Mytilus edulis: one gene and its partner. The protein of the gene in region 2 interacts with the protein of the main gene of each other region in a pairwise test. Links are inferred from orthologs where the notes say so. Each region holds a gene or a part of one and is shown on either strand. Other genes may lie near its edges.

Region 1 (17,048 bases), on a different chromosome or scaffold from region 2:
TCAGATATTCAATCAAATATATGTTGTTAATTTGCGTAGTTTATAACACAAAATTTATAAATAGCTATGCAATTCATTACATATAATTAACAATCACATGTTAAGTGTATGTAGCACACGCCATTCGGACGTCTAGCTTGGTTACCAGATATTGTTTTAATAGTTTTTCTGGCAAGGCGGTATCCACATTTGTATACAGTACCTTAATATAATGATCTCATTAAAGACTTTAATCGTTTTTCATTCAGTAATTTTTTGCTTCATAAAAAAATACAGAGTAACAGACAGTTGACAGGGAATACTAATTGGTAAAAAATTCAAACTTTTAACGGCACAGAAAAAATATGTATTATTTCTTCAGTTTTGAAAATGTTACTTACATGTTGATTTTTTACAATAAATTGGCTAATTTGACAGCTTAAAACCAGATACCTTGTGGAATGTTACTAATGATGTAAAATTTTATAAACTATACCAATTAAATGAGATTTAAGGTAAACAAAATGATTTCTTCAGCGCAGGGACTAATTACTTCGTGTCAATCCTCTTTCCTCTATCTAATTGCCAATTAGACCCAAAGGGCTCAGTGTTAACGATTTCGTGGAGCTCATTATCCCAACAAGAAAGCATCATGCACTAGCTCGGTGTTAATTATTTTATCTCTGGTGGTGTTTTAGTAGTTTTAAATCCAATTTGTATTTGAGCAACTTTTAAATGATTTGGGTGACGAAAAATAAGGCATCATTAAAAACTTGACATGGTTCATCTGTTTTAGTACTAATGATGTTGGTCATCAGGGTTGTTTCAGTTTCTAGAACAGTTTGTTATTATTTAACATAATACCTACCATATATGATTATATAAACATGCATATACAGATGTGTTCATATGTTGTGTCATTGGGTTGCTGTCTCAAGTATGTGTATCCCAAATCTCTTTTTATAAATGCAAAGTTCATATGGTGCCTTTGAGATGTATTTTTTTCTGAATACACCGATCAAACCCGATGTTCTATTTTGAAACAGCACCTGAAGCTATATATAGGTAAAGGATTTTTCCAAATACAGATTGTAACACACCAAAAGGACACACACACAACGTTATATGACAAAATATCACATTTTTAATGATAAAACTCTAATTATTAAAATAAGTGTTTTCTTTAACAGCGGAGCATTTTCCGTATCGGAGTCAAAGAATTTTGAAAATTATCTTTTATGAAAAGATATATATTTAAAGTTATAAAAGATTTTTCCCGATCAGCAGTGACGTCTTGGAGATTTATAAATACTTCCGATACTCTCTTCGATTAAGAAACACTCAAACCATCTGCCCATCCGTCTTTTGTGGCATTTGAGGTATGAAAATGCATAGCCAAGTCCGCACTCACTGAGGCCATTTGACCCAACGCACGAATTGAAATTGTATCCAACATGTTCATGAAAATGAAAATGTGGTATGAATGCCAATGAGACAACTCTCCACAAGCGACCAGAGACACTGGAAGTGGCTCTTGAAGTTTTTTCAATTTTTGATAAACAACGTTAGTTTAAACATATTTATTTATAGTGTGGATTGAAATTCAAGTTATTACAACTTATATGTATCCCTTTCCACTTTGCGGGTGCGAGTGCTGCCTTGTAGCGGCATTAGCCTGTTCTTTAAAGAAATCTACAAGGGTGTATTTTACGTGCAAGAGATACGGTTCTCTCTTAACAATGGTCAGCTATTTATCGTCAACTTTCGACGGAATATCATCGTTTCTCAAGACCATACTCGCAAATGGTGTCAAAGGAGAGGCGAAAAAAAAAACATATATGACGAAGGTCGTTTGACGTCAAGAAATCTCCCAATATACCTGTTTTTTTTTCTTTATTTCAATTGGTTTATTAAAATTAAACGCAAGTTTAAAAGCAGCAGCATAAATTTATTCAAGCATTCTATTGGAGAATACAGTATTTGAAAAGACCTTCTGGGGAGTTTTTGTCATAATTTCACTTTTTTAACAAGTGGTATATGTATTCTTATGTTGTTTTGTTTTTGTTCGTGTATACATGTTTTGGGATGGGTTTTATTTTTTGTGGATATTTTAAAAGCCAAAATTTATAATAAATCAACCGTTTAAGGTGGTTCAAGGCTCTCAACTAAAACCGACAGAAATATCATACTTTGTCTAATGAAACAAAACGTCGTTTGGGGTATGTTCCGGCGCAGTATACTGTGAAGCATCGCCACTGGATATAGGTACGCCGAAGCAAAGAAACAATGATAGCAAACAGGATTTATTCTATCCTCGTACAGTAAAGAGCTATTCGCCGCACAATTTAACCGCTTTATTTATTTACATGAATTTCTCTGAAAACAATACTTATTTTAGTACTAGTAGTTTATTTCGAAATACAGTGTTGTTCAACCTTGAATATATACAACTTTTTTCTATGAAAACGTCAAATGAATAGTTGAAGGATAAATGTCCAAAACTGACGATATTAAGAGAAAAAGAGCAAAATAATTATCATCATCAAGAAAAGCGCGACGGTTCTGTAACCTTTTGTTAGGAGAGGTGAAAGATACCCGAGGGGTGGGGGCAAAATAAACTGACATCGCCATGGCCCAAAAAAAAGACAAATAATAAAACACAAAACACAACGACTGAGCAACACGAATCCCAACAAAACCTGGGGATGATTGCTTCTATTTGCCTGTTAACGAGTGTGTTTATACTGCCAACATCTGCAATGATATTTAATAAAGCGAAAATGTATATTTTTATACCCAAGGTAGTTTACTTGTATTTGTATGTAAAAATAGTTTATATAGTCTCTTAATTAAAGAGTTGCTCATGTTGTCAAATTTGGGTTTTTTTTAATAGTTGGAAATCATACTTCATATCCTTACTTTTGTAAAAAGATATACAGTGTATGTCAAAATGTGAAAGGGATTTTGTTTAAAAGACCTAATATCCAAATAATTTCAATAAAAAAATCCCCTCAAGCCGGTTCTAAGGGCCGTCTTAGACTTGAAGTGAGGTGAAAGTTTTTTTGTTTTTTTTTATTTTGGTGTTGAAGGCCTCACTGTGTGGTTTTGAGATGAAGAACAGCAATAAAAGTGCTATTTCTTTACTTTTTGTGTGTATTTTTTCGTGATGGGCATGAACTGATTTTGTGTCATGCATGGATACTCCATCATCTTTGTTTTTCTATTCTAATAAACGGAATCAGAAATTTACCATAAAGGGGTATTGACGTAGTTATCTTTGTTAATCTATTTAGAAATAAGTTATTTAAAATTACGAAGAACAACCCTGACACATGTTTGCTCGATGACGTAAGTATCCCAAAAACTAGTGTGCGAAATACCGTGTCTTAATTATATACTAAATATAATCAAAGTACTGAAGTACTGAACATCGGATGGCTGCAAGTTCTTGTGGATGGTCAGAAGCACTTGTCTCAGAAAGTAAATCACATATACCTAAAAGTGAGGTTACTAATAGTGTACAGAGATATATATTTTTCTTAGTCAAGTTCGTTCGTGGATGATGAATAAATGACAGGGAAGTCAACCTCGCCGTAATAACTATGATTGTAGTGATACAAATCAGAATACTCTGGTTTGTTGATATATATTATATTAATATTTGTATATAACAGTTACATGCATATATATTTTTCATCTACTTGTTTATCGTTCTGTTCTCCTATTCTAATAATAGTGCAGTGCAAGTGCATGGTTGACTCTCTTCTGTAATTATTAGGTTTTTCAAATATATGTCTAATGACAAAATATTTTCATATTATAAATTTATGTTCTTAAAACAATATTTCTATTAGCATTCATTGAAGAAATGAATTTATAACAAGTGATAAGTAATACTATTTTGCACTCGATAACGTCCGTGTATGTATAGATTGGTTACCAGTCAAAAAAAAAGTCACGTAAGAAGAAATCTCTGTGGCAACAATACATCGGTCATCGCGATGTAAAAATAAGAAGATTTGGTATGATTACCACTGAGACAACTCTTAACCAGGGACCAAATATCATAGCAAGTAACAACTTTATGGTTGTTTTGTCAAGACATGCGTCCCTTCAAATGTTTGATAAATTCGCGATATTGGCATTCTGTATTAATTAAATAGATGAAATAATGAAAATATTACATATTTATCAAAATCAAAGTGTTATAAACAGTTTTAGTAAACAGAAAGACGCGACTGGACAAAATCGTCGTCATCAAGACAAGAACAAAAGAGAAGCAAATGTCAGATTAATTTGTATTTATTTTGTTATTTGTTAATGTCAAACGCCAGTAGAAACCTGTTAATGCAGGAATAGCCAGAATAATTTAAACCAGAAGAAACAGAGTAGAAACAAACATTTAGTTTATCGTTCAGTCCGAGAAACCGCATTCATGCAAAAATCTGGAAAGTTTTTGTTATAAATTCGCATATTGGATATGAATGGTATGTTTTTTTCTTTAATCATAATTTATCAAACAACAATTGAATGTTATATATGAACATTTTGTCTTAAGTGAGAACCGTTATTGATATGAAAGTTATTCATGAAACGCACGGCAACTGGTATCATGCATTTGTGTTTGAAAAAGTCTGAAATTTGTCTGAAATTTCGTAAAGATTGAATGACATGCATTAGATAATCTGGCTTCCAGTGGCAAACACTGCTTTCAGGTCGACAGTAATTATACAGAATGATCAACAAATAAATTTGATTGTACTTATTAGGGGATATTTACTGGGGAAGGTGTTAAAAAGCAAACAATTAAAACACAGCCTTATAAAATACCACTGAAGGGTTTCTGTTAAATTCTGACTTTGTGAAATTGCGCATTTATACATTTGACATTGAGTCCTGCTGTCTGATATTATAGAAACTCAAAGATAAATCATCTGTATAATCCTAGGAATACTTTTGATTCTGAGTAAAAGATAGCTTAGGATTCAGTTGAAATTATGCCCTAGACATTTGCACGAGTCCTGCAGCTGTTCGATGTTATAGAGTCTCAGAAAATCAGCTGTAAACACAGGAATACTTTGGATTCTGAGAAAAAGATAGGATTCAGTTGCAAATCCGATTTTCAAAAAGAAATTCTCTTAGAGACGGAGATGCAAACTCATTTGCTTTCCTTAAAGATGGAGACAGCAGTCAAAACTCATAACAAATGTGCTAAAAAAACACTAGGATTTAGCACCATATTGCTCTAAGGCAACGTGCACACGTCATTGGTTTTCCACATGCTTATTTGAAATACTTGTAACAGACAAAAGCCGACAGCTCCAGTGTTGTATACTTTTAACACAATATCTAGTTTTAAACTCAAACGCGAATCGAAAGTACATCTCAAGCAAGGGTCCTAATTAATAATCACGCCCGAAAATGAAATTTGTTTTAAGGTATATTCACTGCAATCTAATTAAAAACCGATCTCTCGGTTTTTAATTAGATTGAATTCACTGTATACTGCCATCTTGGATTGTACAATAGCAGTACAAAAACGGTCTAGTTCGGGTTTGGGCGATAACTCTGATGCCTAAGTATAAGGTAAATGCTAAGCTCATTGCACTGTAAAGAACTCTTGCAACAATTCTGCTGGTTTCGCAGATGGTCTGGTGCAAGGGAAATTTCTTACCCAATCCAACACACCCTTATTTTCCAGTGGCTATCAAAATATACCGCCTTTTATCCCGATCGACCTACATTGATTATAACATACCTATTGATTTAATTTTTTATTATAAATAGTTGAATTTGAATGAAATATTTGACACTGGACATTTAACAAGCAACAATTAATAAATACATTAACAGAGCTTATTAAAATTTTTAGACAGATTGGAAAATTAGCCGTTAGACTGCTTATTTGTATATATAGAAAAATGGTGATTCATTTACATTATCCAAAATTTCAACAGAAAACCAAACAGTTATATTTTGCGACGTGTGTTGCTTATCAATTTGATTCGGTTATTACCAAGTATCAACACAAGTTGTTTCCGTTTTCCTTCTGTGCACTGGACAAAATTGGCTGTATATGTTGAGAGTAATATATAGGCGTTTGAACAAAAAGAACTTGATTAAATGTATCTTTAAAAATTTCGAAAAATTTTAATTGACCGCCTTTACGTATTACATTTAGTTACATTGCTCTTTCTGCTGGCACTACTTTGTCAATGAAAAATTTATAAGGGGCGCAACTCTTGCAACTGGATCTCTAATTACAGGACCGTGAAATCACGGAATTGACAATTATGCTTTTACTAATTTTTCGTATAGACGAAAAAATATAATGTTTGAAAGTATAAAAACCAAAATGGTAAACTTTGCCTTGATTAGTTGCTCCTTAGTTTTCTTAAAATACAATGATTTATTAACTTAAAATGCAAAGACAAATTTAAATCATGCAAGTACCGAACCACTGGGTTTGTTGGACTTCCGATGATCGAAAGAACACATCCGCAGCAATATCAACATATTGATATGACGGCACGTACATGTATCATCCCTATTGTATGCGCAAGTTTTGAACACCTGTCCAGCTATGTTGGCTGTTCTCAGCGTAACGAACGGTGCTGCAGTACTGAATCTGTCGTCAGCTTTATACATGCATATTCAGAACGAGTAAAAAATAATTCGGTAAGATATACAAATCGTGATTTAGTTTTAAATACTATAGTTTGGCATGGACAGAAATGTTGCTTTGTACAAACTGTCTGTAGGCGTACAAGGAGTCCAACACTGTCTTATAGAATTAACACAATTTTCGCTGCATTTGTTAATCGGGTATTAGCAGATGTTTGAAAGAAAATTATCGTTAAACGGATTATCTGCAATTCAAAATGTCCTATATTTTAGTATATAATTGATATAAAAAAAAACTAACGGTAAAACGATTATAATTTGTAAAGAAAAAAATGATATCTAGGATCCTCAAAAGTTACTTGCAATCCATAAATACGTAATCATTTTATGTTTTGAATTGTTATAATTGATCAATATATTAAGTAATAACATTTATACAATTCATTTTGTTGTCGAGATTGAAAAATAAAACAGATATATATTTTTCAAACATCTGTCGTCAACTTCGATATTTTACAAGAATCTTTGTTTGTTTTTTGGGTTTTTTTTTTGTTTTACAGAACAATTTCTTAAAAATCTTAATATATAGATTCAAAAAAAGACCACAAATGAAATTGTCTGCTATAATTTAATATTGAAAGATACATTTTGGTTTAACATTTGTCGGGTTAGAAGAACATTTTAAGGTATGTGGGTATTTCAATTAAACAGTCAAAGAAAAAAATCCATTTGAGAAGTTTAATTATCTAAAGTTTGACACTAATGCGTTTTAATAATCGTTTTATTACTGTTCCTATTATAATAGCCGATAATTTTAATTATTTCCTCTAGTTTTATTTTGATTAAAATAATTGAATACGATCTTCCTATAAGCCGACCAGTATAACACAAAACTAATTAATAAAAAATGGGTTTCAAGAGAGTCGAGATAAACATCGCGTTTTTAATCAAGTCATAATTACCTATTTTAAAGCAACAATCATTATTAACATTAATAATATTGACAAAATTAAATCTGTCAATATTAAACTGGGCGGAGCCGACGTTATCATTTCTCCATTCATGCTATTGAAACATGCGTTCCGATTGGTTAGCTACAAATGAGAAACGATCCAGTCGTAAATACGGAGTAATTCATAACACACAACCATAAAATAATCTGCTATAGGAATTATGAAGTTGTTTGTTGAGGAACGTTAAACAATACAAATTATTGTGTATGTTTGATTCTTGTATACGCTGGTTTGTTGATTTCAAGCTGTTGATGTAATCCGACCGACTATACATCCATTTAAGTGACGCATATTGGACTATGACAACGAACATTTGATAGTGTACGACTGCACACAATTTAAAAATACATTTTCAAGGATTTTTTTATTAACTGAAACATTTCTTTGTTGTTGTTTGTAATTGAAGCAGACGATATCTAAAACAGACGGAATATACCTTCATCATGACAAATGGTTAGTATAAAGCTGAACACGTGTTTTTATCACATTACTTCCGTTTAGTTTTGTTTATCTTTTCACACTGAACGATAAATCATCCTTAAAATAGTTTATCATATCAAGACTAAATGTCTTAAGAAACACAATCTATGTGTGCACTTTTCACTGAACAAGTCTCGTATGAAACGTCATTTTAAATGTATAAAATTGAAACCTTGATTAATTTCGAATATCCTATTCCATGTAAGGCATAACGGTCTACACAGACGACATACAATCACAAACCGTTTTTCGAAAATGTAGTAACATTTCGGGTCTTGTATCTATTTATAGTATCTTTTCAGTTTTTGCAATGAGCAGGGACTTCAGGATTAATCATGTAAACAAGTCTCATTCTGTAATCAGGTATAATCCTGTAAATTATTCATAATTTAATCTTTTATTTTTGTATGTGTGTATTGATCAATCCCAAGTTAAACAAGAGTATATTTACTTCATTAGTTGTATTATTAGTTTCACTCGAGAACATTGGTGTATAAAAATTGGGTAGTAGATTTAACATTTCAAATAGCAAGGTAAGCAGTAGTAAATCATTCAATATCTCGACATAGGTGTGACTGGAGCACTCTGAATATACTGGAAATGTGGTATACAACCTTGATTCCATAAACAGACGACAGGGTCACCAATGGTGCGGGGACTGCTAACCAACACATCAGATCAAATCAGGTGTTTGGTGGGGTTTGTGTTGCTCATTGTCAGTTTTCTTCGTAGTGTAACTGTTTGCCTCTGACGACGATTCTGTCTTTGTTTGACCTGGTTAATTGCCCCCCTTTGTACCATCTCTTGATAAAAATAAAATGTGGTATGATTGCCAATGAGATAACTCTTCACAAGAGACCAAACAATACAGAAATTTACAACTACAGATCACCGTACAAGTCTTCACGATAAACCTTTAAATCCACAAGCCCGATGCTCAATTTTACGAAAATTTGGACACGTGATTAGTACGAGAACTGCCTCGCACAGCCTTCAACAATGAGCAAAGCCCATACTCCATAATCAGCTATAAAAGGCAGTCCCATTATTGCTTCATTCTCTGGAAGGAGATATAAAAGGCGTTGTTTTTTCATTCTAAACAAGGCAAAGGAAAAGAAGGCTTCTTCATTAAAAGCACAAATCTGAAGTTAGTAGTATGATGCTTCAATTTGTGCTCGACGAACATGACTGAAGCAATTGTAATTGAACATTATACAAGCAACACTCACTCAATTTTTTTTTTCTGTACAGGTACAGAAGACAGTTCTTCAATGATGAATAATGGTGTGATGCAGGACATAGGTAACCTGGCCAACAGCGTGACAGGTGAATCCCCATCATATGGCAAGGCATGTGCAGGTTGTGGTGGCAGAATCTTGGACCGATTCCTGCTACACGCGATGGAAAGATATTGGCACACAGGTTGTTTAAAGTGCTCTTGTTGTCAGACAAATTTAGAACAATTAGGATCGTGTTTTACCAGATCTGGGATGATACTGTGTAAAAATGATTACTTACGGTAGGTACAAATTGAACCCATGTGTATTTACAAAAAGATTATCGTGTAAATGTTAAATAGTTTAATACAGGGTTCGTGGGAAAATGTTTACGTCGTGAAGTTTTTCTCTCACGCATTTGGGTATTTGATAATTTTCTTAGTAGTATAATTAAGAAGATACTTAGTATTATATAGTATACTAAAAAAACCATAGACAGTGGTTTACCAGTGGTGTGGCCAGTCCTCTGTAATCTCTATCAAAATACGCCCCTATAATTGTATTAAAAAGCCAGAATAGAGATATTTGATATTTTTCAGAACTATACTTTTTGAATTATGTATAACAGGGATTCAGTTCCATATCTTTCTTCTTTCCCAATTGATGGTGTTATGCATAACAGATTTTTTTTTCAGGCATACTAAACCTTTGTTAGTATTTTTTTGTGCTTGTATATCTACAATTTTTACTGTATGATCATTTAAGATCGTGGTATATGGATATCTCGCGAACTTCTCTGTCCTCGTTAGGTGGTTAGCTTAACGAATCTTACTAAATTGATCGTTTGGAATATGAGCTATTCTTAATCATTTGTCTGTCCAGTCTAATTATAAACCTCGAGAGAATAAATTAGCTTTCTAATTCATTAGTAAATCAGTTATTTACTGTGGGCACCTAGGATAAATGCATGTTTAGCAAGCACAATTGGTCAATTAAGACTCATTATTGGGTTCAATTACAACACAAGTAATACCAATCCGAAACTTTATTATTACCAAGCTTAACTTAATGAAAAGTAAATTGGTTCCTTTCATAAAGGTAATAATAGCATTTTATACGTTGAGAAATGAAGAATAAATATTAAACGAGCTTATACAAATTTGTTAAAATCTGATATATGTGTCAAAAGAAAAAAGGCGATAATATTAAATCATCTGGAAAAAGAGATTTGTGTAGATTTAAGTTGTTAATATTGATTTTTAGGTAATGTTTGTATTCAAGAAAGTAAATTTGGGAACAAAAAAAGAAAAGCACAGGTGTTCTTAATGAAAAAATGAAAACGTTGATGGACAAAAAAGATATGTGTGAATAAGTCATCTGGTTGATATCAAGTTGTATACAAAACAAAATATTTTATTGAATTTGAGAAAAAACATAACCTAAAAGAACTTGAGCAGTGTAGGAAAGAATTCAACTTTTTGTACGTGCATTCCATAAACTCAGTGTAAACCTGGGACCAATAGACACATGTATTAGTCCCAGTACAAACTGAATAATTAGACAAATGGTTTGTTTACTTCTGTTGTTACTAACTAGCTTTACATGCAATACACAGTAATTAACAAACGTCTGCGGCCTCTGATAAACGACACATTTGAACCAGACTAGAAAGCCTTTCAATTAACTACTGTTCCGTTTGGATAAGTAGAATAAGGTACATTTTAATGAAGTTAAATTGATTTTAGATGCCCCTATCAAAATAAAAATTACAAACGATTTTTTTCTTCTCGACAGATGTCGTATTCGCAGAGTCTAAGTGTATGATAATGGACTCTCTAAAAGTCGGTTTAGTTACGTGATAATACATTTGAACAGACTACTTAATTATCATGTTAGAGTTAAAGTAGTGAGAAACATAAATGGCCAGATAATTAGAAGAAAAACGTGTGTTCCATTTAGGATCGATTTTAATTAATTTTCGAGATTGGATTTGTTCGTCAACAACAAACTAAAAACCAATTTCCAATATCAACAAAGGTTAATTTCAGCAATCAAAATGAAGGAAAAATTAGTTTATTTGAAGTTTCTTGATCTCGCAATTTAAATTAATTACAATTTGCTTTTGCGTGGCGGTATTGCGTTTTTGAATGCAGTCTCGGATATTAAGACCTCTTTTCCAGTATTATCAAAATGTGCAGAGAATTAACTTGTTAAATCTATTATTTCCTTCTTTGGTATGTACTAAAACTCGAAATCCTCTTTTAATACGACGCATTTGAACTAGCGGATGTTTATATATTGAATCCTTTATCACTAAAGAAAATGCATTTTGATGTCCAAACATTGATATGATCAATTAACATTTAATCTCCTGTCTTTCATCCTGGTTTGTACACCTTGTAGGACTTACTCAGTGGTGGATCCAGAAATTTGTATACGGGGGTCATTAACTGCCTTAGAGGGGACCCCGTCATTCGATGATGTCCTAATATCATACAAATTTCTCCCACTAAAGGGGGACCCGTGTCCCCAGTTCCAACCCCCTTAATCTTCCTCTGTTACTTAGTATTAAGTTGAATTTTCATTAAAAATTTGCTCTTGTTGTCCATGTGTCGATCCGTCAATCAATTTAATAACTCTTTCTCTGGCTTGCTCTATCTTTGGGGTACCAATATCATGGTGTGTCATTGTTTGGTGAGTACATATATAATGCCTCGGTATATGTAATCCTAGACATCTTCGTTGTTTGGCATGGGTTGTTACCATATAGGCTAGCGAAGGTGACTCCTAGATTTAACTTCGATTTTTTAATTCTTGGTGTTTTAACACCACTTTTAAGCACTGCTTTTTGGCCATTCCGTAGCGGCCAGTTTTTATTGGAGGGGGGAGCCGGAGTGCCCGGAGGAAACCATCGACCAAACTGACAATCCTAGTCAATTAAGATTGGAGTCGAGTGCATCTGCACGAGCGGGGTTCAAACTCACAACCTCAGTGTTGACCGGCTAGTGATTACAGTAGAAACTTGTTAGACCAGTGGACCACCGATTCCCCATGAATCCTAGATATTATGCCCGGTAGTCTTTTAACTTGAATCGTGTTTACTTTCAAATATTCTGAGACTTATTTGACGTCAGATAGTGTTTTTGGGACTTGCTGTTGTCATAGTCAGAGATTGCTCTGATGTCTAACAGTCTTTTAAAAAAAGTTGTAGGGACCATGACCCACCTCCCCCAAAGGGAAGTCTGTCTAAAAAGTCTATCAAACGTTAAACAATCTCGACAAACTTTCAAGTAACTGTAATTCAAACCGAAAATGTTTCGTAGAATAATGCCTCCGTTCATATCGACGTGAAGTAAGACACTAAAACAGAAAGATATTTCCAGAGTACGTATGAGAAGTAATTTCCTTTACTGTTAATAAAGTATTTTAATATCTCGGGGACCAATAACTTTTTAATAAAACTCTGACAAATCGTGAACAAATAATTTCAAAAGAGGGAAATTAATTAATTTCGGTAGCATTTATTTCATTCGTCTCGCTGTTGGCGAAGGATATTAAATCTACCCTAGTAGTATATATCACTAGTTAAATCAGAGATAAATAATTGATTGTGAGAATTTTGATTAATTGATTGATAACGTCCCTTTATACCACTCTTCAATCTGAAGTAGATGAATGAAAAACGACAGATCACGCGATGTTATATTTATATTCAATAATGATATTACGTTTAAAATATGAATTATAATTGACAACAGACTGCAGATATTAAATTTAATCATCTTTAAATATCTCGAGGTCTCTCAAAGGGAATAACATTAGGTTCATTTCGAACACGTATATAGCTTCATTTCGAGTTCATAACCACCGACTAAAATGAAGTTCAACTATACGAACTAAACGACTATGTTCAGTTTGGAATGCATTTTTTTATTCCCATTACATAAAGCCTTCGTTGTGAAATCTAATTATTAACCGAATAAGTATACATATAAATGAAAGACGGTTCATGGTAAATTCTTACCATAAGCTCTAAAACATATGGCTTACTTTTCTGTTGTATATACGAAGCCACTAGTCTAATGGCTAGACTATTATTTTTCATTGGTCGTGGAAGTCACGAATTTGGATGGACTTAATATCACGAACGACTTGAGAAACGAACCAATTCTCAAAACGACAAATAGTGCGTCCCTTTCAAATTTAGATTCCATGCGATGTATTATTATCTCCCAACAGTTTTTCTAATAATTCTTCAGCTAAAATATTAAAACAGAAATCAATTTGATGTCTATGTGATAACATCCACACCAATCTATTGTTTTAGTGCACTCATGAATATTACAAATATTAATTACTTAAAACATTTGTTATACTTTAATATCGGCGTTACAGTATGTACGTTCTTGACAGTTTTATTGAGATTGCTGTAGGGGTCAATTTTCATAAAAAGCAATGTCAAGTTCCCAGAACGAGTTGTTGACAATGACGGCAATAAAATTATCACAAAAAAATCATAATCCACCATATATCTAACATTGAATGTCAAATAATATAACTAACGGTGGACAGATGTCGTGGTAAATATATTAAAGAGAAACAAATATAATTTAATTTGAAAGAGCATGTACATCGTGATAGTACTAAGCACAGTATTTTCTATACTGTAATGTGCCTATTTATTGTTTCGAAAGTTTTTATAATATATGTACATTGTCAACTCCAGTGTACTTTTAGTAAACGAGTACACCGTATTAATGATTTTTTAACGCATTTAGTACCGTTATAGTATCATGATCTTCCCTTGAATTGATATAAGATGTGGTATGAGTGCCAATAAGATAACTGTCCATCCAAGTCATAATTTGTAGAAGTAAACCAGTATAGGACAAAGTACGGTCTTCAACACGAAGTCTTAGCTCACACCGAACAGCTAGGGTTAAATTAAATGGTATATTTCAAAATGGTACCCTGTTTTGTATTCTCGTCATGTCGTAAATGAGACATAAGTGTTATATTGGTACCAAGTTCTGTTCTGTTCTGTCAGTTCGAGTACTCCTTACCTCCATTTGATCGCGTTAATCTGGTAATGAAGCTGTAAAGGAATTACAAGTCGACTTTTGTTACCTGACGTGTTTCATAGATAATTACGTGTCATAGAATTTTTACGTTGATGTACTACATAAATAATTACGTAAAACGACAATTAGCAAAGAAAACTACATTCTCCTTCTCTGATTTCTGTCTTGTTTTAGAAACCACTGATAAAAACAATGGAAACAATAGAACGAAATTAACAGATGTTCCCTCTCTATTTGCCATGCGCACAGTTGTCTTTCATCAGAAAAGTATTTTCTAATTAACAGGAGCACGACGCGTAAAATTGAACAATTTTTTTAAGATTAAAAATTCCAACATAGTAAATAGCGAGAATGTATTGTTTAGATGATAAAAACGTTTACCTCTGGTTCAAAGAGATTTTACTCTTCACATGATATTAGTTTATGTCTAATTCGACATTTAATTAGTAAATAATGATTGATTGCAAACTTTTGTACAATTTCAGTAATCAACTTACAGATTTCTATATTTCTGTACCAACAACACCATTTCTTCACATTGCTATATTTTCATGCAATAGGTTGTTACAACGCACATGCATTATTTCATATTTAAAGGTCATATTCAACCTATGATCCTCACCTGCGACATCGCGGTTCCATGAGTGAATCAAAGTATACCTACATACCTACGCCTTATTTTCAGGCTGGAGTTTTGAAGAATTTCTATTGTAATTTGATAAAAATCATGCTGATTGTGAGGTGCCCAGTTTTCTCTGCCTTTAAAATCTTTCTGTTTGAATTCATCTCGATTCTCGACTTTTTCTTACTACAATCGGCTCAGAGACAACCGGAAACTGCTTGTAGATATGTTTTTGGTTCAATAATTGAATAAAATTATTAATGTAAATCCCTGTGTATGAATGACGAAGCTCGGGTGTGATTATGAAGTTTTTGTTAATTTATTGAGTATCAGCCAACAAAGTAAGAAGACCCTATATGCCGAATGAAAAAAGAATCTGAGAAAGAGTTAACACCATGGTCATAAGAAGCAATATACTAGTAGTTAATTAATCACTTCAGGATCGGATCCAGCCATTTTATTAAGGGGAGTTTCAACCATATATCCTTATTCAAAAGCATTGATGATAAAAAGGGGTTCCCATCCCCGGAACAACCCCTAGGTTTGCAACTACACTTCCTGCCAAATTAAAGGACGTAAAGTCAAGTGCTCTGGATGGGTTATCTGTTCTTGCTCCACTAGTGACACCCTAACATGATACTTCCGTTCATGCAGCAGTCATGTACAATTTTATGTTGTTCCCATTGTTGTTCTCACACCCTGAGCTCACACCAAAACAGGGTCCCTATAGAACACACAAAACTTTACAAGAAATATTCAAATTGTTCTCGTGATACAGCTTGCATACACCCCCACAGTTAGTAGACTTGACCTGGGATTAAATTGTTGTCACCTCTTCAAGAAACTTCTCCTTATGTTCTCCTTATCAAAAACCGCAAATCGATCGACCATTTTCTTTATGAAGTAGAATAATAAACTTTTTGGGCTGAATACAGTTCCAGATTTTACCAGCTAGGGTACAGCAACTATACCCATCATGTTTATGTTGTACACTATTTTGATAACATGAAATACCATATTCTTTTGATGTTGTAAACATTTTATAACCCAATACTACTACAAGTCGTAAAATCAATCAGTATTCCAGTGATCAGTGGATCGATTGGCGGATGATATATTTTCCGTCTGTTAATAGACAGGTGTTAAACAATCCATCAAAAGCGCTCTGATCCATCAAGGGAGAATACTCATATCCATGTCAGATTCTTGATGTCTTTTTCTTTGAAAATCACATCAAAACAGCTGTTGTCTAGATCATAATGATGTTTATTATAGTCTGTATAATATATTTGTCATAAAACATATTTATGCTTCGGAAGTTATGTCTTGTTTATATTGCACGTTGATTTATCTTTGAATCGGAACAATACTGGAGGATAAAAGAATAAGCATTTGAAATATAAATATCAATTTTATTGATGTATTCGAAATAATTGTATATAATTTTCTTTCCTGTTTATTCGAGATAAGAAAACAATAGTTTATGTTCCATTCAGAGTAAGTTCAATGTCTTTTGATGTTCCCTTCTGACTGGACATTTCCGTCGATAAATTGGCTGCATGCATGACAGGGGAGGGAATCCGACAGATCCAAATTGAATCCTTACCTAGCATAGGATCCTGACACAATCTCTGATGAAACAGTTAGCTACTATCCCAGGTTTATCCTAAGTTGCGTACCCTTTGATCTTAGTATTCCATATCACGTAAACCAAAAAGATGAATTATTTAGAAATATAAAAGTATGAAACCGATAACCAACAACAATCAAATAAAAAGCTTTCAAATTGGATTTATGTGACGAGGATTTAATATCACCATATTTTAAAATGTCGAATGTTTCATTTCCTAATTGAAAATCATTTTAGTTCCATTATCTAATGAATTTTATTGTGGCTAAGTAATTTCTATCTTCCAGTAAATGAAATTAACTTTTATTAATCCCGCACAGCATAATATGACTTGGTGATCATTGAAATTGCTGTAATTTGTCGTTTAGTTTAATTTTCCTCCCCGAACTCATTTAAACGGAT
Region 2 (16,493 bases):
TTTGTTTTGTCCCATATTTGCCTGTGCTTGAAGATGAAAATATATCTTATAATCATTGTTGGTTAAACCTTGTAACAAACATTTCACATTAACCTTGGTTTTGGTTTTAGTAAGTCATATGTTTGGGATTTTCTGTGTGTATCTTTAACCTTAAGGTGGTACCTAACACTACAGGGAGATAACTCTGTAAAATCAGCTAAACGTTTTAATTACGTTGTGTTGTTAAGAGAATATTAAGCTTCTCAATGATCAAAATAAGTGTTTGACAAACTGCTATATAACCAGTGTAATTTTTCTGATAAAATGGTTGGTTCAAATTTTTTGAATTTTTTATATTTTTGTAAAAGGGTCAAAGTAAATACTTTGACAAAATTTTAAGAAAATTAAACAACCCAAATTAATTTTAGTTTAAGTATTGGGTACCACCTTAATCCTCTTCTTGTACTTAATGTGCACAATTGTGGTTTACTTCAAATTTTCTTTGAATTTTTATTTCTTACACTTGTAACAAAACTACATAGTTACTTTCGTAGAACATCTACTTTTAAAACTTCTTTCTGTTTTAGTTTATTAACCTGTTATAATGTTTCTTTTACCCAATAATGGAGTTCCTAATTTAAGAGGCTCATAAAAGGAAAGAAAGTTACTACATTTGTTAGAGTTTTCAGTTTTATAAGTACCTGGCAGTTGTATTTGTGTTGGCTGTGACACCTGTGTGGTGACTTGCTGTGTGGGTTGTGTTGTTTGTTGTTGCTGTTGTTGCTGTTGTTGTGCTTGTTGTGCCTGTTGTTGAGCTAGCTGTAGATAATACTGTATTTGTTCTGGCAACATGTTGTTAGTTCTTGATGTGTCTTCCTAGAAATAAAATCATGCTGGGTTACTGAGGCCCCTCATGGGGGGGTCCTAGTAATCACATAATCACCATTTTTTTGCCAATATAATCACATAATCATTAAATATTTGCTTATCTTTAGTAATCAAATTATCATAAACTAAAAATACAGTCCTAGGTAATCAAATAATCATGAAATATTTGGCTTAATAATCAAATAATCATTAAAAAAACGGCCAAGTAATCACATAATCAAAAACCCCATGAGGGCCCTCGTTACTGTCTATTAATATCATTTCATTGATTTCAATACACATTATTTTCCAAATTAAAACATTTTCACATCTCAAAAACAGCTAAGCTTACATATATATTATCAATTTAAATGTTCAAGAATTACAGAAAATCTGCAAACAAATGATCTATAAAAAACAAAATACATTGTTTTGGGGGAATCCCATCAAACCGCAAATTTTGCAATAATTAAATCATGGCAAAAACTTAACAGTATTAATAAAACCATTTTTTTGGATAACTCCTTATTTAATAAAACAGGTTTCTATATTTTTATCTTTTATCTATAAAAACTAACTTTTCTGCTTAATCAGTTAAAGATCTTTGAATCACTATATCAAACCACTTACAGTTCGTTTGGTAGGTTTAAGTTCATCTCTAGGTACTATATCTATTAGGAAATCAAACTGGTCAAACTTTGAAATAGCCATTGCAATATCATTTCTCTAAGAAAAACAAACAAATAATTTATATAAATAGTCTGACATAGTCAATATTAAGATAAATCTTTGAATAACTCTACTAAATAATAATAAGGTGTTAATAAAATCTCTAAAGACTGAGTTTCTTGACCTTTAGACATTGTTTTTCAAGGACTGTCCAGAATGTCAGACAGAAGTACTTCTGTACTAGCTTACTGGTACCTTTTTAAAGACTACAGCAATAACTTTCATTGCAGGCAGGTTCTTGTATGTCTCTTTGACTTTGAGGAGAAAAGAATGATCCACTTCTATCAAAACAGAAGGAATAAAAAAAAAACACCTATAAGTACACAATTTTTTTCTCATTTTAAGTTTCATAAAATCAACAGTGTAAATAATTCTTCTTTTCAATTGTACATGAACAGATTTACATTAATTGAAACCAAAAAAACTTCCATGATTGATAATATGATGTATTAACTTTTTACTGTTAACTGTTTCTTACATGTACGTGTTGTAAGACTGCAGTATCATTGATTTAAACCCTAGACCTTTTTTTCATTATGAAATTTACTGTTGGATTGATGTCTGGTCCACTTATACCTTTAATCAGTAACCTTTTTTAAGATCATACCTGCAATGTTCTCCTTTTGTTGTCCTCAGTGTGTATCCAGGCTCTAAGTGATAACTCACTGATAAATATTTCTGCAGCTTTGGCAAATAATACTGGAGCTTCTGCACTGATCATCTATGGAGATTGCAATTTTATTTTTACATAAGACTTGAATGAGCAAAATATTTCACACAAGGTTATCACAATTTATAAGTACCTAACAATTACTTAGATAAAGTTTGAGCAATGTTAAGTGATCCTAACTAATAAACCTCTAATGTCAGACGCCTATAAAATAACACATGCACTTACCGGTAGATCAATTAAAACTAAGACCATACAAAATACTGATGCTCTTAACTTGAAGTCACACCAGCATAACAGTCTAAATCTCACATGAGCATGATATTAATTTTAATATATATATTTTTTCATTGGTATCAATTTTTGAAATTGTTAAAAAAAAATGCTATTTTTAATGTGTCTTATATCATGTATATTTGTTCCTCTGTAATTGTAACTATGCATTACAATTTTTACTGGGTGTCTCAGGTTGAGCTGCCCCTGACATAAATGTTCAAAATAAAACCTACCTTTACATCTTCATCTAGTTTCATGATCTTTTTTATCCTTGCCAGAGGAAGTATCTGTTGTTTGAAATCATCCTACAAAAATAAATCAAACATTTTTACTGTACAATGGAAGACAACTCTGCAAAATATTGCAATACTTTATGTTTTAAAGAACTGAAAGACATTGTAATCTTTGTAATGCTAATGAACTTGGTGATGAGTTTCATTACTTATTCAAATGTACCTTTTTCAACAATGTAAGAGCTAAATTTTTTACCTTTAAATATATGTAATAACCCAAATGTTTTAAAATTTATAGAATTGATGAATACTTCAGATTTATTTACACTTACTTGAATAGCAAAATTTTGCAAAGTGTTATTAAAACCTTTTAATACATGTGCTTCATCTGAATCATGTTACTATAATTTGTACTTCCTGTCAAATATGAGGGGGGATAGGATTTTGGTCTCTTGTGGAGAGTTGTCCCATTGGCAATCATACCACATCTTCTTTTTTATTGAGTGACATTGGTAAATGGCTATTCGAATTGACTGACAATTCATAACATATGTAAAATTGCTAATGGAAGATGTTTATGATGATACATGAAAAAAAGCATTCACCTGTAATTTACCTGGAAAAAATCGGCGCAATTGAAAAGAAAAATCGGCGCAAATGAAAGAAAAAATCGGCGCAAATGAAAGAAAAAAATCAGCGCAAATGAAATGCAGATCAGCGCAAATGCAAAATGTCGCTTAATTGTTAACATTAAAACTAATTAATAAGTTTGTTTGTTAAATACAAATCTACCTACATTTTTTAGGTCTCTGATATCTTTCATTGCATCAGGCCAGAATGTGTTCAGCATGGCTGCAGCTTCACCACTTATTGATGCAGCATTAGGTGACTGTCCTGATGTTGGGTACTCCATCTTGGAAACTCTCTGAAGAAATAATTTTTCAAATGTGAAATAATCGTTCTATTTTAAATTTCCCTCTAATTACTATTATATAATAATATCATATCACTATAGATTTTATTTGACATTTCCTTGTTTGTGTTCTAAAAACATGTTATACTAATAATTAACAAATCTAAAAGTGCAATGATAAATGGTTCAATGTCAAGGGAAAAAATCCGATTAAATATAAGATCAAAGGTCATGCAATTAAAAATAGAGTAACCCCCAAAAATGTAGACCAGTTGCCGTGTCAGCCTGTAGAAAAAATTAAATATAAAGAATATCATCAAAATCATTGATTTTTACTTGATGCATTGTATATATGCATTAAACATGGTGAAGCAGTTGTTTATAATAGTTTTCAAAATAAACTACATATTGATTTTAACTTTCCATATACAGCATGTACAAGCATGAGTAAAATTAATTTATGTTCCAGGCACACTGTACCAGAAAAATCTTTTTCCTTATTGCATGTAGATAATCCCTGGGTCAAATGTACCTTTTGACAGTATTTCTATATACATGTATAAATGTTGTACTAATTTGATGTATGAACGTGATAAACAACTGCGTTAATAGGAAGTGTTTAACATTACAAGAACATATATCCTGTTTCAAGTTCAGGAAACTAATCTATAATGGAAAAGTCCTGATTAACACAAAATACTTTTCCAGAAATCGAATTTAACAAAGAGCAGTACCTTAAATGGAATAGCAATTGTTCAAAATTGGTAAAAATAGGAGATATGAGGGTATGACTTAGAATGGGGACTAGCTATAGAGGATAATGGGGAAAAACCTCTGCTCTGTGGTACATGTAGGATATTCTGGCATTACGTTAATATACGACAGCCACAAACTCCAGTAAGAGCACTAAAAGAAGTAAAATGAGCTTACAGTTTGGGACATTTTTGGAGAAATTTGAATGCCTTTCTATTATTTTGTTGTATCTATATTAACATAAATTAGCTAATCTTTTAAGATACAATTTGTTCATGCCATGCTCAATGCTTATTTTAACATGTGTGTACATGTATATATGTAGGTATTATTTTTGTCAATATCTTTATACTGAGTGTTAATTAGATTAAATTATAGACAAAAAGAATGTGTCCATAGTACACGGATGCCCCACTCGCACTATCATTTTCTATGTTCAGTGGACCGTGAAAATTGGGGTTAAACCTTTAATTTGGAATTAAAATTAGAAAAATCATATCATAGGGAACATGTGTACTAAGTTTCAAGTTGATGTAACTTTAACTTCATCAAAAACTACCTTGACCAAAAACTTTAACCTGAACTTCGCACTATCATTTTCTATGTTCTGACAGTGGACCACGAAATTGGGGTTAAAACTATAATTTAGCATTAAAATTAGAAAGATCATATCATAGGGAACATGTGTGCTAAGTTTCAAGTTGATTGGACTTCAACTTCTTCAAAAACTACCTTGACCAAAACTTTAACCTGAAGCGAACGGACGCACAGACGGAAGGACGACCGACGGAGGCACAGACCAGAAAACCTAATGCCCCTTCTATCGTAGGTGGGGCATAAAAATAATACCTACTCAAGTTAAAATCAGCATATAGAGCATGTTCTGATAGGCAAATTTATAACTTTTGTACTTCAATTTGGACCTATTATTTATACATGTATATTCGAAAGGTAGCCATTTTGATGTGATTTACCAAAACATTATAGAAAACCAACAATTCAACATGTTTATATTTAACAATAAAAAAATAAACAGCTGCGCCCCATGAGGCATGATACACCAGTGGCATTTTCAAAGAATAAAGTTCAATAACTTCTCAATACCATACATGTATCAGAAATGTATAATAACTAAAGGAAGGTTATCTTAATAGATATACATGTAAATCAGTCACTAAAGTTTATAGAAAACTGCCCAAAGCACTTTACATATTGTAGGTATAGTGTTCGAAAACTTGAAAATCCCCCCTTTTTGTGAATTAAATCCCATAACTCAGAAATGTAAAATAAAAAATTTATAAAAATTGAAAAGGAGCTTATATATATTTATAAATGTCATTGTAAATAAACATTGCCAAAGTTTCGTGCAAATTAGTGAAAGTGTTTTTGAGTTATTGTTGAAAAAATCCCCCCTTTTATAATGAATAAAACTCAGAAATGTAAAATCTAAAATTTATAAATAAATCAAACAGATACATGTATAAACAATTCACCTGACAAAGTTTCATGCAAATTGGTTTAAACATTTTTAAGTTAATGTCCAACATGACAATTGATGGACGGACAATTAACGGTTTTTAATAATACATCCCATTAACGGGCATATGATATCATATATGGATAAAATTACTTTTAAAATGATTTTATTTAATTTCCTAGCAAGCAAAAGCAACACAAATGTTCATTTAGATCTAGAGCATGGTTCAAAGTACAACTGACATTGCAATTTCAATTATGATGTCAATCACAGTTTTATTGCAATTACAATTAAACATCATATTAGAATTCACAATTTGCACAGATTCATGTGATTGTCAACATGATTTTTCTCTTAGCTCTTACTTGATCCAGTACCAGAAGGTCCTACCACAGATTTGGTTACAGGTCAAAAATTTACATACTCAAGAGTAAATAAACAGTCTTGTCAGTCTACCAGTTTGAGACCATCATCTGTAATTTTTCACACACTGCATATTCACTTTTATTCAAGAACTACTGGATAGTAGTCTATTTGCCCAAAAAGAAGTAGTTTCAAATATATGTTGAGGCAAACATTTTCAACACACACTTTATCACTTTTTTTTATACTTTTATTCAAAGGTATTTATAAAATTTTATTGATGTTACTTACTTCAAATTTTGAGGTATGCCTATGTCAAACATGAAAGCAATATGACATGAAAATTGTAAATTATGATTTTATAAAATATTTGTTACCATTTAAAACTTAAATGCAAAGATTTAAATTTAAAGTGTTAATTTTAATTTTAGAGGAAAAACAGGGAGACAACTCAAATTTCTTTTTCATATTCCCTAAATAAGTTTTTTTTTAAAATAAATATAATATATATAAATATATTATTATGCAATTATTATGAGATGAGAAAGACATTCCAAGATGAGGAGTCAGTAGACACCATTAGCCTATTTAAGGACTACAGGATAAAGCTACATGTAAAGGTATAAAGGGTAAAATGGTAAATTATATCTTTTTTTAAATTTCCAAACATAAAATGAATGAAGAATTATTTTTGCATTTTAAACAATCTTGTATAAAATACATTTTAATACCCAAGTCTAGATGCAGATTTGGTGGTGGTGGTGGGAGGGGTGGACTCCCCCCTTTTTGTGGTAAATTGGTTGATTCTACAGGGAAACACTGTATGAGGCATGACTTGAGCGGCCATCTGAGGCAGTCAGTGGCCCCAACCCCTTATGAAAAATTCTGGATCCACCGCTGAAGTGTCTAGCCTAAATTGAGTGACATTTATTCATATCAAAGCATTTTTTTTCTATATTTCACAAATATATGCATGAAAAAGAGGGAAAGGGGGTAGTTCTTGTACAAAAATGAGAATAATATTAAATATAAATACATGTATATCAATGTCTTACTTTGATCAGTCTCATTCTGCATAGTTCCAATATTAACTGAGACAACACCAAAGGTTGATAAAATTATGGGAAATTCATTTTCAGAATTTGTTTTTGTAGTAACATTCTAAAAATAGAAAGCAATTCAAGGAAGCCATTTTTGTTCTGTCCGTGAGGGGATATTTGTCAACACATGACTGTCGATCACAGAGAGTTTATTTGGAGAAACATTTTATTTCATTTATAAATTGCTACTTCTTTGATACAGGGAAATGTTTGTAAATTATCATTGGAGATTGGGTCGAAGAGTGGACCAATAAATTGGTCGGGAATCGACACCCAATCAACACTGACCTACCCACCAATGAGAACAAAGAATTATTCAATGAAACAAGGTGCGCGGATTGGTTCAAAGTAGCTTCATGTAGAACCTGGAAGTGTATGGGTTTCAAAACAGTTACCTTTCAGCCTTGAATATTCTTGATATAAATTTTATATAATAAAATTCTGTCTTTTCAGATCCTTCAAAATAATGGCTGATATGCGATTTGGTAAATTCTTCCGATTGCGCATGCGTGAATTCGGTATTGTATTTCCGGTTTAAAAATCAAGAAACTATTATAAAGAAAAACAAAAATGCAGGTTAAAAACTAATTTTATAGAGTGTGTTTTGAGGAAACAGTTATAAAGAAGGCATGCACCTGTTGGAAGAGGTGCATAGTTATCCCTGAAGGATTTTTGGAGTTAAAAAAAAAGTTTTAAAAGAAAACTTCACGTTTATTATGTTTATGCTGTTCATTTTATCATGTATACAAAGTGCATGTGTTTGACAGCAAAAATACTATTAGTATCTTTCTCATGGTCTTCTTTCAGTTTCCATCATATTATATTTATATATTATAATTTTATAATGCTTTCATTGGTAAATTAACTAGAAAGTTGACTTTGTCAATCTTGTCTGCCTTGTTTGTTGTGGTCTTCATTTTTTTCACCTTGGCTGTTAAACTTTTACACTTATTGAAAATAATTTTGACAGTTTAATAATTCTATGTCACCCTCTTGATTGTGATAGTCTAAAAATAGAAAATTTATGTACATTGTATCCTTAAAAGGATGCTTTCGAATTCGGCATCTACACTGATGTGCCAAATGGATACATTCAGCATGCCCACAAGGATGTAAAAAGGATACATGAAAGGGTTAAATTATCATAAGAGTACATACATTTTGTGAAATTAAAATTAGTGTTAGGCTAAGACCAGAAAATGGCTGAATATGTTTATTCTGAAAAGACCGGTTTTACTAGCTTTACAAATTTACTACCATGACTACAACTACAATGTACATATTTCATTTGATTTTTTCCAGAAAGAAGAAAAGCAATTAGAAGCCACTGTAGATGCCTTGATCCACAGAGTTCAGGATATCAAAAATTCCATTGCATCGTTTCTCTTTAAGCTTGAAAATGAATATCAAACATTGAATTGGTAGGACATTATGTTTTAATGGTTAATATGCTCCTTTAGACAACAGACAAAGTGTGGACACATGATCATACTGATATAAACACTGAGTTATGCATAATACAATTCTTAACACAACTCAGAAATTGCAAAGGAGCTGGATAGTTCAATGAACAGATGAAAGAACAGACAATAAGAATCAAGCACAAAAAGATCACAAGACCAGGGAATCTCAAAATAAGATGCATTTTCTTTGACAAATATTTTATTAAAATTTCAAAACTGTTTTGTACAATTACCATGTTTACCATCTGGCAAATGTAAACATGATGTGGCAGAATAAAATTAAAAAAACATGTACAAAAAATAACAAACTTTGATATATTAGACATTGTAAATGAGCTAAAATTATTATAGAAGTTACTTGTAAATAATGAATTGTACTTGACTATAGCCATGATAGCTATATGTCATTTTTTTTTTATTGAAGTATAAATTCTTACCTTAAAAGCTACTATCTGCTTAAACCTTTTATCATGATAATGATTAAAAATTCGATATGTTCTTTCTTTTAATCAGAGAGCATGTTCATGTAGTTAATGTCTTAAAATATCCCTTCTTGTTTTCAGGCCATCTGTGCTGGATAATTTTGCTCTGATATCTGGTCAGCTAAATAGTCTTGGTAAAGTCCTGAAAAATGACAGATCACCACATCTTCGAAATCATCTCTTGTTACCGCTGGCACTGAGACCTGATAGAGATGCTGAACTTGAGGTACTGAAAAGATAAATCATACATTATTTTATGATCTAATAGATATAAGAAGATGTGGTATGTGTGCCAATGAGACAACTCTCTATCCAAGTCACAATTTATAAAAGTAAACCATTATAGGTAAAATTAAGGTGTTCAACACGGAGCCTTGGCTTGCACTGAACAACAAGCTATCAAGGCCTCCAAAAATTTCTAGTGTGAAACCTTTTAAATGGGAAAACCAACGGTCTAATCTATATAAAAAACATGAAACGAGAAACACTTATGTTATGAACCAAATCAACAAACGACAACTACTTAACATCAGATTCATGAGGTGCAAACAATTTCAGTGGGTTTAATTGTTTACATGGTACCAAACCTTCACCCTTATCTGAAACAATAGTGTAACATCACAACACAGAAAGACACAATATAAGATATCAATTGAAATTTGAAATGGCTGAACACGACATATTAACATGTGTGAACATACAATGAAAGAATAAATTTGATCTATGATTTAAGTATGACTTATTGTATATTCAATAAACATGAATAAACTTCAGGAAGGGACTTTTCACTTAAGTTAAACTTTTCAATTATGGTAACTTTAATGTTTATAATTATATAAGGTGTTTATAAAAATCAAAATACTCGCAAATCTTCAAATTCAGAGAAGAAGTAAAAACCAGCTTGCACCTGTGTGTTTATGTCATCTGTGACAGATTTTTGCTTATCTCATTTGTTTCAATGAAAAATCATGAAAATAGGCGATAAAAATATTTAAGAGGTTTGCTTCTCTGCTTCTAAATAACAAGCTTTATAAAAGACTGTTATAAATAATAGATGTAATATAGCAGAAAAAAATGAAGGGTCCATGTCCTTGTTTCTAAGATATGCTGTTGAAAATTTGGAGGGAAATGATTCTCTCAAGAATTTTCATTCATTTAACATGTTTAACATAGGCAACTTTTTTCTTTCAAAAAGTATGGAAAGATAATAAGGATTTTAATACAAAATTTTCGAATATCTTACAAAACTTAAAAAACAAGAGGAGCCAACATCCTTAAGATAAGGAGAAAAAAGTATTAAAAATGATTGCAGACATTTATTTGTTTAAGTACATGTATATGTATCTAAATATTATATGCACCTCTAAATATAACTAGTCATGCATAAATTTTTATTCATTGTATTTGCTCTGTAGAAACTAACAGAAGGAAGAGTAATTTGTTTTAACCATGAAGTTGTACCAGACTACCTCCGTACCAAACCAGAACCAGAGGTCGAGGACAAAGTTAATATTGTTGTTCAGAAATCAGCTGCAATGCAAGCAGACATGGCACAAGTAAGAACATTTAGTCTTTTCTTAGAAAAGTACACAATCTGTATTAGGAATATATATTGCATCAAAATTGATGTGGGAGGGTATAAGTAGGAAGGGAAGTTAAATTATTGAATGTTGGTCATGGGTCTGTTTTTAGTATGCCTCTATTACCATTTTGCAAAGTTATCTAAAAATGGTTTTTGGTTGTAGTAATATATATTGAAAGTCTTTCCTAACCTCCCACATATGTTTTGATGACATAACCCTTACAATATGTATTAATGATTACAAAAAAAAACATAAGGTGACACATTAATATTTATTCTGTTAGAATTAATGTGTGAGAATAAGAATGAGTTTTAAAATTGCCCACTACTACACATGTAACATCCTGTTTTTTTGAAAAATTTAATTTGGAGACAACTACACATAACCAACAAACAATCATTCTACCCTCAAACATTTATCATCATGGAACAGTCTGTAAGCTTCATAAGAATTGAAGATCAACGCAATTAAAAAAATCAGATGTGCTGTCGATGCAAAAAAAATCTTTAAAAACAGCTTTAAAATAAAATTCTGAGGTTTAAACTAAGTATGGCAATAAGATATATGAGATATCAATAATTCTTTAATATCACATAAATATTTGAAAGGGAATTTATTCTTCTTACAAGATGGAAGCAGTTACATGAAGAGTAAGCCATATCTATTTTTTTATATAAATCCTCACCACAATTTCATAATATTTCTCATGAGCCCTCAATATTTCCATATCCCAAATTCTGTACAAAAATAATATATAATTTTAAAACAAATTCTGAGTGCAGATTTTCAGGAAATAATAATTTAAATTGAAAAATACATATTTTTGCTACTTTTTACACACATTTATCCAAAGGCAACACCTATTTTGCAAATTTTTGATTAACCTTCTTGAAGTATAAATGCTACATATATCATGTATATATAATTCTTCACTCTTTCAATTTTTGAATACAATTTTTGGGGTCAAGTTTTGCATGTCAGGTCACCCATCAAATCAGCACATTGCATTGATAGGCAGGTAATGGTCTAACTACATAGTTGTACAGATTTACAATACAAAATTGTACATATATATATATTCTATTTTTTTTTAGAAACAACTCAATTCAATGAACAAGATCACAAGTAATTTATTGGATATAATAAACTCTAACAAAGAAGAACTAGAAAGTGAAGCAAGTAAGTTATTTTCCTTGCATTAGAAATCAAGAACACAAGTACACACCCGTGATATCGCGGGTCCGTGACTGAATTAAAGTATATATATTTACGCCTTGTTTTAGTAATTGATATTGTCATCTGATAAAGTTATGTCGATTATAAGATACACAGTTTTCTCTGCTTTCAAATCTTTGTTTGAACCCGTCGACCCGGAACTTATCAATTATTGGTAATATTAATTATTTGGAAAACAGAAGGTCCTGGCTATCCAGGAATGGAGTATTTTTTAATCAACAACATTGTCCTATATTAGTTATCTTAGAAAGTATTGCTGATTGCTGAATAAAACTACAATAGGGAACAATTTGACAATGATTGAATTTAGTAGTGTCAGCCCTTTGATTATGACCCGTGTATATATCAAAATCCTAAATACACCGTTTGGTGGTGCGCCTGTCAAATGCGGAACGTACAGATAAGTTTATAGGTAACAGGTGAATAAACTATTAGTATCGGTATCGGATTTGACCCGGAACTTGTTGATTATTGGCAATATTAATTATGTGGAAAACAAAAGGGTCTGGAGTGGTGTAATTTTTAATCTACACCATTGTCCTATATTAGCTATATATAGAGTTGAATTCTTTGATTTGTCGTTTTTACCCGATGACGGCTGACAAATTGGACCTCGTAATTTTAGTATTATAGATTTAAAAAATTCACCTTTGTATTATTTGCATTCACTTAATATTTTGTCTCCTGTTGTCTTTTTTAAACTTGTGTTATTAAGTGTGAAAGGACCAACAACAAAACATTATCCTACATTGTGAAATAAATCATTACAGTGTCTCTCAGACACAATCATTTCAAGTAGGATTTGAACATTGAGTTTTAATAAACCTATTGTAGCAGACCTATATTCATATTTTATCCTTAGCATTAAGTAAAAAGTCATGTCTTGAATAATTTGCGTAGCTCAGTGGAAACTTAAAATCTTGATTTTGTTATTCTTGGCTACTTAATTTTTTCAATTGGAAGATTGAATTTAAAAACTTACCTTTTTATTCTTTTAACTGGTAGGTTCATTTTGAATTGTATCGGCGAATTTTGAGACACAAACTGAATTTTAGATTTACTTGAACCAATAATTTCAAAACTGATGTGTATTCATCAATTAGATTATTTGAACACTTGCAATAAAATTTGTTAACATAAACTTAATAAACATTGTAAGATTTATGTGCCCCTTCCGGAACTACATTTTACCCTTGTTCATCTGTACATCTATCATGTCTATACGTTCTCTATCTTTAGTTAGCCTGAAACAAATGACATGTAACTTATACACATTGCTCATTACCACAAAACTCAGATCATGTTTGAATTTTAGTGGCATCACTTTTATTGTTCTAGAGTTATTCCCCTTTATAAATGGAAAAAAATGATTTTATTTAGATCAGAAAGCCCAGATGGCACAGACCTATTCATCAACAGATACCAGTTCAATGGTGGCAGCCATGATGTTTGGTAAGGGACTGAAATCAATACAACGACAAGATTCTCGACCTGGTATGACAGCACAACAACAACAGCAGCAGCAACAACAGAAACAACAGGGTAAGATTATATACATCACTTAATGATTTGATATGTCAACCTTAAAAACACTTTTTGAATATGAATAAAACTCACTAGATGCAGATCCATGGTCAAGATTGAATATGGTAGTGTCTCTTACTGTTCTTGAGTTATGTCCCCTTGTAAAAGGAATATTGTTGAATTTGTTGTACATTTACAAGCTAGGGCATCTGTGTCTCATAAACACATAATTTTAGTTTGAAAAACAAAATCATGAATTTTTTTAAGACCATCATGTAGGTTTCAATATCATGATAACTGTAGTGACTACTCCCTTAGTCCCATTTTCCCAAAATTTCTGTGTGTTAAAATCATCAGGACCAAAAACAACCAGCTAGGTCAACATTATATGAACAGAAATCAATTTATATATCAAACTACATGCAATCAAAGCAAAGTCAGGTGACAATTTCACAGTCAAATATATTCATAAGAGCACTGTGTTATGGAATTAAACTCATCATAGATAACTGGCTTAAAAATATGTATGCCAGACTCATGTTTTGCAGAGAAAAGACTCATGAGCGAAATTTGAATAAAAAAAGTTGAAAATCATTGTTCCAATAGCCTTACAGAAGACATATATATTTCTCTTTTGATTATTTATAATTTTTTATTTGTAAATAATAGTGTGAAAAATTAGAATATTTTTCTTTTTTTCAGCACAAAACATTGGAAAAGCACCAAGTACCATAAAAACAAACATCAAATCTGCAGCCAGTACACATCCATATCAAAGACCTTGATTAATTAACTTAATACCAACGTTTTGGATAAGACTATATTGGTAGACTGAATACCAATTTTAATATGCATGAGTGATGTTTCTCATCAGTTGTACTATTTTTAAAGAGGCAAGTGTTGAAAAAGATGTGAGAGGAGGTTGAAAACAGAAGTGATACCAAGACTCTAATGATTATTCTCTATAAGTACACAAGTGCAATAATGATAAAGTGCTATGAAAAGAATTATTGATTATGATTTCATATTTGTCTACTTTATACTATAAAAATTAAACATTTACGTTTGTTGAAAAACTAATTTATTTCACAGTTAATTCCCTTTTATTGTATGATAGAAAGTAATGTGGGCAAAATTATGTTTCAACCAAAATTTAAATGTATATTTTATTTATCAGTAGCTGGGATTGCAGTTGCTCTACTTGATATTATCCTTGCCAGTTAATTTATGTCTGGTTTCATAAAGCTGTCTTGACTCAAAAATGTTGATATCAGTGAATTAATGATGTCTTGTTCTAAAGGATTGATTGTAACAATGTTTTGTTTATGACAGTGGAAACTTTATTTTGGCTTAAAAACTGAAATAAAACAGAATCCAGCATCTGAAGATCTCAGTTTGAGCTGGAATCAAAATGAGTGATTTACAAACATGATCTGTCTTTTTCTTTTCACATCTGATTCACACCACCCTAAACTCAACATTGTTCATATTTTACTGATTTTAAAGTATTTGGAGATCAGCAAGACAATATCTACAAATAAGTTTGCATGGTCGAAATCGTCAGAAAACTTCTTATTGTAGTTGTTGCTTTTTATGCCCCACCTAAGATAGTAGAGGGGCATTATGTTTTCTAGTCTGTGCCTCCGTCCGTCCGTCTGTGCCTCCGTTAGTCCGTCCGGTTAAAGTTTTTGGTCGAGGTAGTTTTTGATGAAGCTGAAGTCCAATCAACTTGAAACTTAATACACATGTTCAATATGAAATGATCTTTCTAATTTTAATTCCAAATTAAAGTTTTGACCCCAATTTCACGGTCCACTGAACATAGAAAATAACAGTGGGAGTGGGGCATCCGTGTACTATGGACACATTCTTGTTGAGTTTGTGTTGCTCAGTCTATAGTTTTTGGAGTGTTTTGTGAGCTTTTTCTTTTATCATCGTCTTCTTTGATGCCGTTCTGTGTCTTCGACATAAGTTTTTGATTGTTCCTTTTGAATTGGTGTTTTTTAAGCGATTTTGATGCTAGTATTTAAAAAAAATTAAATGTGTTTCCCTACATTTCAAAAGTATAAAAGAAGGCGAAAGATGCTAGAAGGACAGTCAAACTTATATATAAAAATAAACTAACAACTCCATGGTTGAAAAAAAGACAAAAAGACATAGTACACAAGACACAACATAAAAAACTAAAGACTTAGAAAAACGAATTCCACCAAACACTTGGAGTGATTGGAGGTGCTCCGGAAGGGCAAGCATATCCTGCTCCACATGTGGCACCCGTCGCGTTGCTTAATTTATTACAAACCCAATAAATAGTATAATTCTGTAGGTCACATTAGATGAAGGCAAATCCAGATTTAGATTCCCTCGGTTTTTGTTTGTAACCAGGCTTTGTTTGTCTATCAATCGAAATATGACTTTCGAACAGAGGTATACTACTGTTGCCTTTATTTACTTATTCCCCATTTCCATTCTCAAGTTTACATTAGCTATGTTTATGGTTTCGTACTTTATTTGACTCTTTTTTTAACTTGAGTTGTGTAGCCATATATCTATGAAGAGGTTACTTCCATATGTAGCAAGTTTTTTCCCCAATGTTTTGAAGTGTCGGATTAATTTAATGGAAGACAAATGCTGACAGACGCATGTTTATCAATTCAATACATTTCATATTCAACCGTTCAAGAAAAAGTATTAAATTATATGCATTTTTTCCGTATAATTAAAAAGGTTAAAATATAACCTTGCGTTTGAGTTTTGCTGAACTTTCATAACGTCAATAGCTAAATAAAAAAAATATTATCCTTTCGATACGAAAATGACAGAAGATTAAACAATGTTTTATCCA

Evidence for each region.
Region 1: the proteins of nuclear transcription factor Y subunit gamma-like (region 2) and LIM domain transcription factor LMO4.1-like interact in binary tests that used the Homo sapiens proteins (3 or more experiments, as listed by UniProt). The link is inferred for Mytilus edulis from reciprocal best matches to the Homo sapiens genes NFYC and LMO4.

The regions. Positions count from the first base shown.
Region 1 is NC_092345.1:48,587,283-48,604,330, forward strand, and holds the start of LIM domain transcription factor LMO4.1-like, read left to right. Parts: upstream 1-7,682; 5' UTR 7,683-8,059; coding exon 8,060-8,069; intron 8,070-8,439; exon of another isoform or gene 8,440-8,459; intron 8,460-9,347; coding exon 9,348-9,615; intron 9,616-17,048. UniProt on the Homo sapiens protein: Transcription cofactor. Plays a role in establishing motor neuron identity, in concert with MNX1, acting, at least in part, to disrupt LDB1-LHX3 complexes thereby negatively modulating interneuron genes in motor neurons.
Region 2 is NC_092344.1:62,047,758-62,064,250, reverse strand, and holds the start of nuclear transcription factor Y subunit gamma-like, read right to left. Parts: upstream 7,534-16,493; 5' UTR 7,331-7,533; coding exon 7,316-7,330; intron 4,283-7,315; exon of another isoform or gene 4,148-4,282; intron 3,680-4,147; coding exon 3,551-3,679; intron 2,827-3,550; coding exon 2,755-2,826; intron 2,297-2,754; coding exon 2,183-2,296; intron 1,573-2,182; coding exon 1,477-1,572; intron 856-1,476; coding exon 681-855; intron 1-680. Other genes in the region: mediator of RNA polymerase II transcription subunit 8-B-like, read left to right, coding at 7,990-8,007, 8,663-8,781, 9,387-9,531, 10,721-10,861, 11,983-12,067, 13,505-13,666, 14,351-14,433. UniProt on the Homo sapiens protein: Component of the sequence-specific heterotrimeric transcription factor (NF-Y) which specifically recognizes a 5'-CCAAT-3' box motif found in the promoters of its target genes.